Linked DNA regions of Nothobranchius furzeri. The protein of the gene in region 3 interacts with the protein of the main gene of each other region in a pairwise test. Links are inferred from orthologs where the notes say so. Each region holds a gene or a part of one and is shown on either strand. Other genes may lie near its edges.

Region 1 (3,648 bases), on a different chromosome or scaffold from region 3:
AAACAGTATTTCCAAAAGAGGAGACCGTGGTTATTTGAGGGCCGATCTATGGCTGTGGCTCCAGCCTGAGGAGCCAAACTGACACCACGAGAACCCGTCCCAACAAAGGCTCCAGTCCATTCCCCATGGGTCTGTTTGCTTTGTGATCAAACTGAGAAATTGTTAGGAAAAATCTAAGGATGAAAATGAGTCATGTATAGCCTTTTTAAAGTAAGATCTTCTAATTTTCTCCATATTTCAGAAACCTGGCATTAACACTTTCAGATGCACAACCACCAACACACTGCAGCAGGGTTTAGAGCCAATGTCCTCCGTGTCCTGGTAATATGCATGCATCACTGGGGGATTATATTGCACCATGAGTCTCTGCAGAGTCTGCCTACCTTGACATCATGGGCTAAATTTGGTTCTGGGAGAAATAAATCCCTTCCTCTTGCCTGCTAGACCCCCCTTTCCAACTCACAGTCACAAGCTACATGCACTCAGCATCTCAGTGCACTAAACGACGAAACACGACAAAATGGATCTCGCTAGAAAATGGAGGCTCAAAGCTTAATCACCAAACAGAAACTGCATCTGATGTATTACAGCTCCCACTTAGCAAACAGTGAGATGGCAGCTTGGATTAGACAAGGACAAGGACTTAGTAGCAAAGGGATTCTTGCATTTCCACCTGTGGGTGATGCGGATGTTTGCGTGTGAGGCCAGATGGCCTAATTAAAGTGGCTAGTTAGTTAAGTGGCATGTTGCCTTCATGGCGACTGCCCCAACCCCCAATCTTAATCCTCAAAGCAGTGGTCCAATCAGAGTTTGGGAGAGCAGCTATGTTGCCGGGTCTCTGAACTTAACAAGGCTAGGCGGTAATTATGGGCTCAGGCTAGACCTGGGATCACCTGCTACACATGCTCCATGTAACTTCAGGGACGGGGATTTTGGCTGTATGTGCAAAATCCAAAATCCGTTACAGATTAAGAAGTCCTGTTTGTCAATCTTTTTAGTTTTTTTTTCTTCTTTAGAACAAACCGTTCTACCTGGTTTTACTAAATGGCAAATGAGGCAACAAATGACTCCCATTAATCTCATCCTACAAGCTCCAGAAAAACAAGCACCGACTAACACTCAGCCTCCCAGGAGCTCTCCGGCGTCGGGATTGGCTGCCACGTTCCCTGGGCTGTGGGCCATCTCTGAGGGCCACCATCATGCCGGCTACTCTGATGATTATCCAGAGTGCGTCAGCAGCACGGGGACGGTAGAGTAAACAAGCCGGCATCCCTGGAGTGAACCGAGGGCTCAGGCAGCCAGTGGTGCCAATGCTGCAGTGGAAGAGCCGCCAACTCTGCACTTCCTCTCTGGGAAAGAGGAGGTTTTACTTATGTTAAAGTGCTGACACCCCTCACGAATCAGAAATGTGCCTGAGCCACTCTAACTTTTATTCATATGCTTACCAAACAAAATCATTGCTCACATAAAGGAAAAAGAACATTAGGCAGTGATGATAAACTATAAAATAAGCATTTATTCTCACTGTCTAGGCTTTTTTTTATCCTACAAATGAAACATGATTGTATTTTTCTAGGTTTATTGGGAGCTAGCGCCCCCTACTGGTAGCATTAATTTAATATTTAGAATTTCACTGCAAAACAAAAACAGCCATTTAATGGTAAATGTGACCAGTTGATCACCTTCTGGCTATGTACCTTATATTGTAAAGAGGTCTCACCTGGGTCATCTTGTCCACGGAGACGGGGATGCCATCGATGGTGAGGGGGGGCAGCTCCGAGCTCATCTCTCCACATGCAGGAGCATGCTCAGCCAGGGCGTTCTCCAGGTCATCTAACAGCATGCCCTTATACTTTCTCACCTAGCCACCAGGACACAATCATCTCAGACACCTTTGGAGTTTTTGGATGTTGACAGGATCAGAACACCATTAAAGCTGCTTTCCGGAGTTTTCCTCTTTCAGAAATAATGTACGATTTGTCAGAGATCTGTAAAAGTGATTATCTTATCATGTACTGTGATATAATATGAGCAATACGTCTTTTTTTTTTTTTTTGCTAAGCACACCCTGTGCCCGGCAGAGCTCCCCGCAATAGGAAACTGAGCGCCGACCAGAACTAACCAATAGCGTTAGACTACCGCTTAGACCCTTCACATTTAAGGAATACCTCGGCTGATGCAGCGTTGATGAACTTTTCACAGACAAGAAAGTCTCTAAAATATAAATATACGAGAACACAACATGACATGAGAATAATACTCGTAAAACAACATGTTTTAGCTGTTTGTCGGCTACAGAAGCACATTTATAAACAGAAACGTGAAGTCGCCATCTTAAAAAACAGAGCAACAGCGTTTTTGTGTGATACGCTTGTCAGCCACTAGATGGTGCCATTGGATAAGAGAAATACTCCAGAAGGAAGCTTTAACCATAATGGCTTTTGTCACAGTTATTCCAGCAAATAGAGAAATGTCACAGTGCAACGCTAAAGACGCTCACCACGTTCTCCAGAGGAGCAGCACCAAACACCTTAAACACAGGGTTTGGTTTAGATGGAGACACACACAACACTATGGCCTGTTGGCCCACTCTGGTGGTGTACTCATCCAGCGTGGCTCGCAGTTTCCTGTAAACAAACCATCATCTTTCACCTCCTTTAACAGATCTAAAGTTGCACATGAGAGATGTCGGGTGGTTGAAGCTATTTTCATTCATGTTAAACTGTTTGTTTAAAAGATGGCGGGGGCTTCTCGGAGAAACTCACCTGAGCAGACGAGTCTGCTGCCTCTTGCGGATTGAGGGGTTGGATTCAAAGATGTGAGGTCTTTTTCTTTTTTTACCGGTTGCCACAGCAGCAGCAGCTGCCATGCCGACTGGTCCTGATATAAAAAAAAAAACAAAAAAAAAAAACGGGAGCAAGTTTTACTGGTTGTAAAAGAAATGACTCCAAATTTACTAAATTTTACAAAAGTAATTCTGCGTTTTCTTCCCCCTGACTTCTCTGTTTGGTATGAGGAACATGTTAATACACAAGCTTCTCGTTTTTATGAAGAGCTTTCTTTAAAAAAGGATTTAGATGAAAAATGTGCCAGAAGAAACTCAGGAAGTGTCTATCGATCTGCACAGCTTCAATACAAAGAACATTAGCACCACCCGCTGGTCAATTTGTAGTATTACATCAAGGTAAATAAAACATGACCTGCACGTGTGTAGCGCCTTTCTGAGACAGGCACACACACACAAGCACACACACACACACACACACACACACACACACACACACACACACACACACACACACACACACACACACACACACACACACACACACACACACCCTGGTGCACACTGACGAAGGCGAGGCTGCCGAGTGCCACCAGCAGGTAAGATGGTGAAATGCCTTGCCCAAGCACACAATGACTTAACGTGACTGCACGAACATGGGTTTGAACCTGCAATGCTGAACTCCTAATCCCTGAGCTACCGTTGCCACGTAAAACAGTAAAGTAAAGAAGTGTGAACCACTTTCTGGAGTTGAACGAATACAGAACATAAACAGATGACTCGTCCATCAAATCTTACAAAACAGTGGACTTCGGACACATTTTAGATTCCTTAACTGTGTGAAAGGAATCATGTTTGAGTTC
Region 2 (3,648 bases), on a different chromosome or scaffold from region 3:
CTCAATTTCTGACCTGCAGTCTAGCTTTGGTACAAAATGTCAGTTATCAAGTTAAAGTAATGAGGCATAAAATGACTTTTTACTCATAAATCATATTTTATTTAAAAAATGTTAGCAACATTATAGAGATTATTTTTATTATAAGGAATACTTAAAGCGATAAAACTAGCTCAACCATTCATACATTTCTACAAATCTACATGTGAAAACAGGTGTTTAAAGTGAAAAGAACCTGTGTGAAGCCCAGTTTGATGCGTCGCTGCTTGAAAGTCTTGGCAAACTGCTCCAGCTCCTCCAGATCGCTGGGCTCCTCCAGGGTGGGGGTGTCCAAGCGTTTGGGTGGTGTCTGACTGTGGGGCAGGGTCTGAATATTTGTGGTTGCCGTGGTACGGGACGGAGATGCAGGCTGGAGGGAGTGGAAACAGAACAAATATGACTGCTTAGAAACTCCTTAAAAGACAGGAGGAAACCTGAGAAAATCCATAAAAGTTAAACTTATTGGGAAAAAATCGTCAACGCATTTTTAAAGTTTAGACAAGATCGTTGCATCGTTACAAACCTGAGTTGCAAGAGTGATGCTTGGCTGAGTCGGATGGAGGTTAGCTTGGCTTTGAGGTAGTTGAGTTAGAAGACTCTGGGCTTCAGGGACAAAAACATAAAGAGTTTAAACAACAATTCATTCATTCATTTAAACCCTTTCTACCCAATTCTGCTGTTGAGTGTTTTGTTCACCTTGCTGGACCTGCGGCATCTGTGAGATGATAAACTGGGTGGGTTGCAGTGGCGTGGCGATTGGGTGGCCAGGCTGAACCAGTACAAACTGGGGTAGGCTGAGATTCTGTTGCTGAAGCTGCTGCAGGAAAAAATAAAAATAAAACACATTATGAAAAAGACCATGTACTGAGATTTACAGAAACTGACGTTTAAACAAATCTGGCTTACAGGGGCAATCTGTATGGGCTGTGACAGGGGCAGCTGGGTGATGGGTGTGGCTGCGGTGGCAGAGATGTTGGCCCCAGTGGTGCTGTTCTGCTGGTTAGCTGAATGCTGCTGCACGGCTGCAGCCAGGATCTGAGCTTGGGCCTGTTGGATCAACAGCTGTTGCTGCTGCGGGGTCAGGGACAACTGAACAACACAAAACAGGTGTTACTGTGTTCCTGATATAAACACAAATCAAGGAGACCATCCAGCCTTAGACTTCAATACCCGCGAAAAGTTCATTTGAAAATTATGCTTTGCTCTACACCTGATTTTTTTTCCCCATTTCTCATGACAAAGTATTCAGGTACACAGGAATTCAACTTTTCACAAAGGTATGGAAGTTTAGTTGAAACTTTGGCTCTCTCTTTATGAGAAAACGTAGTCATGCATCTGGGCCAGGCAAATGAGCATGTTGATGTCGTGCAAACACAAATCTACATGCAACATTCCCTCCTGCACAGCAGCAGCCGCTTTGTCCACTCAACTACAACAGGGCCTCAAGAAAACATGGAAACGTAGAAATGAAAAGTGTCACATGTCTCAATGATGAATTTTTCAAACACGCCACAACGTTTTCTGTTGTGTGGGAATCTGGATGTAAACTAAAAACCACAGGGATGAGCAGGCAAGCAGGCAGAGAAGACACCTATTCATCAGCTGCCTTTGAGTCGGGTTGAGGAATTATGGGATGCATGTAATGAGCAGGCCATAACCAAGAGCAGAGGGGGGACACACACTTACTCCAGCAATCTGTCCCCCGGCCAACATTAGCTGGGTTTGAGGCAGTATGCTCTGCTGGACGGAGGTCGAAAGAGCACCAGAGTCTTCCAACTTAGACTAGTAAAGGTAAAGTAGAGGGGGGGGGGCGCTTTATTTTGGTGTCATAGCAGTTATTCTAGCAATAAGAACAAGATGCTAGTGGCTTTAATTAAAAGCCTTTCAGGAGAATTTTTCATAAAGAACATCCTCCATAAAATAAGAAACTATAAATCTAATTTCTGTGCCTGGTCTGAATGTGCCTTTAGTCTTAAAGCAGTGAGAGGAATTTAAATTAAAAAGGCTGCAATAAAGTGGGTGTTTAAAATGTGCCGCAGCCTTCAGAGACAAGAGTGAAGTGAAGGGAGGGGAGAGTCGAGATGCTAATTAAAATAACTGTTATGCAGTGCATGTAAATTCTGCATAGATTTGCATATTCTTGGCCATCTGTTTCCGAGCAACCGCAGAGCAGCTAATTAGCATACAGGGTTGATTAATCTGCCTAGTTGCCAGGCGACACAGAGTGCCTGGCTCATTTAAATGAACTCTAAAGCTTGTGAATATTTGTGTGAACATGAAAGGACTGCACATTTTTTACATGTAGTCACATGATTTTTCTTTCCATATCTATATGTATGTGCAGCTGCAATTAAACATCTGCTCCACATCTGCTGCTTTAATTAAGCAGGAAAAGGAGTAATGAAGATAGGCGATAGTGTTGCTGTGTGCATGCGTTACCTGTGAGAGGAGTTGTGCATGTGCATTAGCAATTGTGGTTGGCACCGTCTGCCTCTGAAAGTCCAATCCATTGGTTTGGATTCCTGAGGAAAAGGAAAACCGAATGAAACGAGCTGGATGGAGAAAACAAGGAACGTCAACAACCTGGTGGAGGATTACTTCAGGAAAAAGAAACTGGATAAAACATTTTTAAAAGAAAACATATGCAACAGCTGCATTTATCTGTTTATTTAAATGTGGGGAATCATCACATTTGTATTCATTCTTAAACAAGAGGATAAAAACAGTCATGAAGTTAGGGAAAAGCTGTGCTGTGATGCGCCTACTTCAAAATATCACTAATAAATAAATACAGCTAGGTATTTAAAAGTCTATAGACACAGTGGGAAGCTGGTTTATGTATACATTTGGTTTATGCAGCATAAATGTTATAAAACCTGTTGAATGTATTTCAATATTCAACATTCTTTTGTGAAGGGGAAGGAGAATATTCAGGTCACTCACCGGGGTTCCCGTCACCAATTTCCATTTCACATTTAGTTTCTGACTTTACTTTAACATCTGAAAGAGCCAGAAGGATACATAATGAGATACAGTCACACCTACTGGTGATCTAACCTCCCAGCTTTGCATGATATTCCTAATATTTAAATCAGACCTTTAGACACATTCGCCCCTCAAAGCAGCAGAACCAGTTTTTGAATTAAACAGAGCAAACATACAAGCTGATTTTACAATAGAGTAACACAAATCCAGTGAGATCTGGATGTTAAAGCGACCGACTAAAATCCCCGCTGAGCTCCATTACAGCCTGATGAAAAACTCACCCGCTCTCGTTCCACCTGTATTTTCCAGCATGGTTGCTGAACCTGTCAAGTAAAGCTGCCTGGATTGGGCAAGCCCACCGACAGGATGTCCAGCGCCGGCTTCTTCCTCCCACCCCTCCCTGTTTTCACTCTCCGCTGGTCAGCAGTGAGCACAGTTCAATGCAACCACAGGCGCACACAGACACGGTGGCGGTGTTCACCACACGGTCTGCTGAACAACACTGGGATACGAACACTGGGAAAGCCAACAGGGTTTAGGCAAACAGCTCTCCTTGCCTCCCTCTTTTCTTTTCTTATGGCTCAGCCCCTTTTTCTTGCACTGTGCCTTCTTTGCACTCCGTCTCTC
Region 3 (4,291 bases):
TTCTATCAGAAGCTAACACAGGAGATAGGTGAAGACTGTTTTCATGGTGAGTCTGCAGGAAAATATCAGAGTGACAGATTATAATTAAAAATAATGAAATAAACGTTTTTTTCAGTGTTCCACACCTTTAATCAAGTAATTTGCAAAAAGAAATTATAAATTACAGAAACATTGCAAATGTTTAAACTGATAATATCCATCCATTTTCTGAACCCACTTGTCCACATAGGGTCGCGGGGGGTTGGTGCATATATCCAGCGGTCAACGGGCAATTAGGCGGGGTACACCCTGGACAGAGTGCCAGTCCATTGCAGTAAACTAATAATATTTCAGTCCAAAAAGATAAATATCAGTGCATGCTAAATGAGTTTTTTCATAGTTGTTCAAATAATATATATAAATAAGATATACTTTGCTGATGCAAAGCTTCAGGTATATGCATAATATGCTGTAAAGAAATTTGATTAACAACAACAGATTATTTGACATTTGAACCCTAAATATGTGTGCGTTTTTCTGCTCTGATGTTGAACTATAGCCTATATTATTTTTTATTAATTAGAAAAATAAACATTACATTGTTAACTTTGTGGTTAATTTTTAGTTAAAGGCAGAATTGTTCGTTTCCTGTTGAACTTGATGGATGAATTATTAATTTTTGTATTAAGTGTTGTTTTTATCCATGGTTTTTATCCAGTATGTATATGAAAAGCTGTTTTCCGGACAAAGGCGAACCTAATATTGTCTGTAATGTGGTTCTTTGACTAAAATGTCTCTGCTTCATTCATGTTTATGTTTCCTCTCCTTTCCTCTCGCACGCGCCTCTTCTTTCCCATTCGCCCAACCCCCATCACACAGCAGGCTCCGCCTTTCCCCTTCACTCTACGTAACAGCCGCTAGAGAATCATGGGAGTTGTAGTTCCGGCCGCCTTCGCATGTTCGAGAAGGCGAGGCTTCGTCAAAATACAACTCCCATCTGGACCCTCGCACGCCGAGCCTGCTCGTCCAATCTGAATAAGTGGGAGGAGCGCGTCCGCCCACAAAAGCCCGAATAACCCCTAAAAAATCAATTCAGCTCGAATTAAAGGGAATTCGCTACAAATACAAACAGCAGGGACTGCCGGTGTTCGATGCGCCACGGACGGCGACGAGGCGTCCCGGTGTCGTGTGTCGGGGGGAGCAGCGGCGGTGACAGGCAGCAGCAGCGAGGAGGGTGTTGTCCTGATGCTTAAATGGAAGTGGGTGGGCCTCCATGGTCACACACTGCCAACTCCTCCGAAGATATCACTCTGACAAGCACAAATTAGCTCTTTTATGGACTGCCTGCTCGGGAAAAGGGACGCAGGAACGAGCTACGAGGCGTCCGTGGGAGCGGGGACGATCACCGCACTCCCCGTTGTCTCCGTTATTTTTCAGGCAGGTCGAGTGTAAACGCGCTTGGCACCGCCCTTCCTGGCTGGTGGGTGGTTTCGTCAAACGGGCAGATCCGCTACGGCCCAGAGCTGAACGTATAGGCCGTCCTCCGCCTCTGTACCCGGCCGGCCTTCCACCGCGAACTACACCCTCTCCCTCCCGGTATATTAATGCGTTATGAGCGGTAGGTACCCTCCCCCTCTCCGTCTCCACCCCTCTCTCCGTCTGACAGATAGATAGGAGGCTGCATGCCCCTTTGGTACTGATGAGGTTATGCTGTCTCTGCTCTTTATTGATCACCTTTGTTGTGTTAAACCTCCTTTTAGTCCACATCAGATTTACCTGCTTCTGACTTGGTAGAATCATTCCAGAAATCCTGGAATGACAGAATTACTGTTCTGGAATTATACTTTCTTTCCACAGACTCAAAGAAGGAATCAGCTGGAACTGAAGGAGGGAAAGCATCTAAACGGGCTAAAAGTTCTGGATCACAGGTAAAGCCGTGAAAGTTTATTGTAGTTCATTAGTTTCTGACTTGCCTGTAGGCCAAAAATGCAACCCCCCACCCCCCCTTTTTCAACCAGCCAGACACCTCTGGGGGCGTTTCTCTGGTGGATTTCACTTCCTGCTTCTGTGCCTCATGAATAAGCTTTCACACTCCAGCAGCTGTACTTTGGAATCGTGTGTTTGAATGAAGATCTTCTGTGTGAAAGTCGTTTTTAAAGACTGAGTAGAGGTTATATAAACATTATTTAGCCACAGCGGTCGTACTGACGCACACCTTTGGTTGCTGGCGAACGTTAGAGGCTCTGTTGGTTTTCCTCATGCTCTCATGGTTGTTTGGGTCTTTTTTGAGTGTCAGAGGTGCAGCTTCTGAATTCGCCTGCGACCTAGTTCTTTTACAAAGAAGCAGAGAAGGCAGCATTTTTTTCCAGTGTTCTGAGAAAAGAGAAATGTGGTTCTCACACGCCCACCCACTCGCTTCCTGTAATACCGCCCACTTCCACTGACAGCTCTGTCTCTAAGCTCACCGTTTCCTTTTGCTCTACCCCTCGATAACTCTGTCTTTTTTCTCATCTATAATCGATAGCGTGACCTTTGTTTCATCTTTGTTCGTTTCGTTCTTATTGCTTCTTGTTGTCTGTGCTTCTCATCTTGGAACTCCTCTCCATCACGCCTCCTCCCTCTTTCCGTTTCCTCCAGGATTCCTCTCAGCCCTCACCGCTGGCTCTGCTCGCAGCCACCTGCAGTAAGATCGGAGGGCAGGGGGGAGCAGAAGGGGCCCAGGCAGGAGCCCAGCAGATCCAGGTCCAGGCTGGTCAGATCCAACTACAAGCAGGTCAGATAGTGGTGGACGCAGCTGGGGGTCAGGCCCTGGTGCCCCAGCAACTGGAACTGGTCCCAGCTCAGTTCGCAGGTAACAGCTGGCAGGTCATCACGGCAGCTCCAGCGATGGCCAAGGAGAACACGAGTCAACCTGTTGCTGTGACAGTGGCCACCACGCTGGTCAACGACAGCTCACCTGCGGGGCGCAAGGTGAGTGGATTTCAGAAATCTGTTGATTTTGGGAAAATCTTTGTTTTTTTTTCTGTTTGCTAAACTGTTTCTGTTTTGCAGGTGAAGGCAGCAGGTGGGACGAACAGCGTAGCAACCAGTCAGCCGCAGCAGCAGTTCCAGATCATTCAGGTTCAGAACCTGCCCAGTGCTGGAGGCGGAGTCCAGTATCAGGTCATCCCTCACCTGCAAACTGCAGATGGACAGCAGATCCATATCAGCCCCCAGCCGGCTTCTATCGGGTCTCTACCTGAGCAGGTTCAGCTCATCCAGACCCCAAACTCAGGCCAAACCCAGGCTATCATCCACCCGGCCAACCAGCAGGCTATCCTACCAAGCACAGCCAATCAGACGGTCCCACTCCAGATACGTCCTGCACAGTCTTTCCCACTTCAGCTGCAGACGCTGCAAGGCTCCCAGACTCCTGTTATGACCACGGTCCCCATAAACCTTGGTGGCATGACCCTGGCTTTGCCCGTGATCAATAATGTTGGAGGGGGCGGGGCTGTGCAGCTCATCCAATCAGCAGATGGCACCTTCTCTGTTGCTAATGGAAGCCAGATGGTGACAACAGCCATGTCTGGTGGAGCTCCTGCTGCAGCTGGATCCGCACCAACTCCAACCGAAGGTGACGGCGTTCCTGATGGGAGTCAGGTGGTTTCTGCTGGACCCGAGGACGCATCAGTTGAAACCAAAGTGCAGAGCAGCGAAGCTGACTCTCAAAGCCAGAACCAAGCCAACGGACTCCAGAACCAGTCAGAAACACAAGGAGCCATCCAGCAGGTGATTGTTGGCCAGGTGGGACACCAGCTGGTGCAGCAGATCCAGCTGCAGCCTCAGGCTCAGAGTCAGGGTCAGATACAGGGACAGCAGCAACCTCAACACATTCAGACCCTCCAGCTGGCTCCGGGACAAACCCTGCAGCCCATCCAGGCTTTCCAGAATCCAGCCCAGGTTCTCATTCGTGCTCCGACCCTGTCAACTTCAGGGCAGATCACCTGGCAGACGCTGCAACTTCCCGGAGGAGTGTCCCTGCAGGGTGGCCTGGGTACAGCTGTGCCACAGCAGCTGACTCTGGCCCCGGTGGCTGGTGGGACGGCAGTCGGTGGTGGAGGGCTGGTTTCCCTCGGTGGAGCCCCATTAACACTGAGCACAGCCCAGATCAACCCAGGCTCAGGTGTGCAGACAGTCAGCATCGCAGGACTGGGCACAGCTGGAGTCCAGGTGCAGGGTGTACCTCTCACCATCACTGGTCTGCAGGGTGAGAACAAAGAATCTGTCAGATTATAGCTGACAGCTGTTACTGTCACTGTCATCATCTTTT

The links.
Region 1: the proteins of sp4 (region 3) and nrf1 interact in binary tests that used the Homo sapiens proteins (3 or more experiments, as listed by UniProt). The two-hybrid records come from large-scale screens. The link is inferred for Nothobranchius furzeri from reciprocal best matches to the Homo sapiens genes SP4 and NRF1.
Region 2: the proteins of sp4 (region 3) and pou2f1b interact in binary tests that used the Homo sapiens proteins (3 or more experiments, as listed by UniProt). The two-hybrid records come from large-scale screens. The link is inferred for Nothobranchius furzeri from reciprocal best matches to the Homo sapiens genes SP4 and POU2F1.

The regions. Positions count from the first base shown.
Region 1 is NC_091741.1:47,345,987-47,349,634, reverse strand, and holds part of nrf1 (nuclear respiratory factor 1), read right to left. Parts: intron 2,881-3,648; coding exon 2,766-2,880; intron 2,628-2,765; coding exon 2,501-2,627; intron 1,862-2,500; coding exon 1,721-1,861; intron 1-1,720. UniProt on the Homo sapiens protein: Transcription factor that activates the expression of the EIF2S1 (EIF2-alpha) gene. Links the transcriptional modulation of key metabolic genes to cellular growth and development.
Region 2 is NC_091754.1:25,731,921-25,735,568, reverse strand, and holds part of pou2f1b (POU domain, class 2, transcription factor 1b), read right to left. Parts: intron 3,482-3,648; exon of another isoform or gene 3,334-3,481; coding exon of another isoform or gene 3,303-3,333; intron 3,037-3,302; coding exon 2,980-3,036; intron 2,559-2,979; coding exon 2,476-2,558; intron 1,819-2,475; coding exon 1,723-1,818; intron 1,126-1,722; coding exon 943-1,125; intron 854-942; coding exon 733-853; intron 640-732; coding exon 560-639; intron 407-559; coding exon 233-406; intron 1-232. UniProt on the Homo sapiens protein: Transcription factor that binds to the octamer motif (5'-ATTTGCAT-3') and activates the promoters of the genes for some small nuclear RNAs (snRNA) and of genes such as those for histone H2B and immunoglobulins.
Region 3 is NC_091751.1:28,246,400-28,250,690, forward strand, and holds the start of sp4 (transcription factor Sp4), read left to right. Parts: upstream 1-1,419; 5' UTR 1,420-1,590; coding exon 1,591-1,597; intron 1,598-1,836; coding exon 1,837-1,907; intron 1,908-2,616; coding exon 2,617-2,949; intron 2,950-3,030; coding exon 3,031-4,228; intron 4,229-4,291. UniProt on the Homo sapiens protein: Binds to GT and GC boxes promoters elements. Probable transcriptional activator.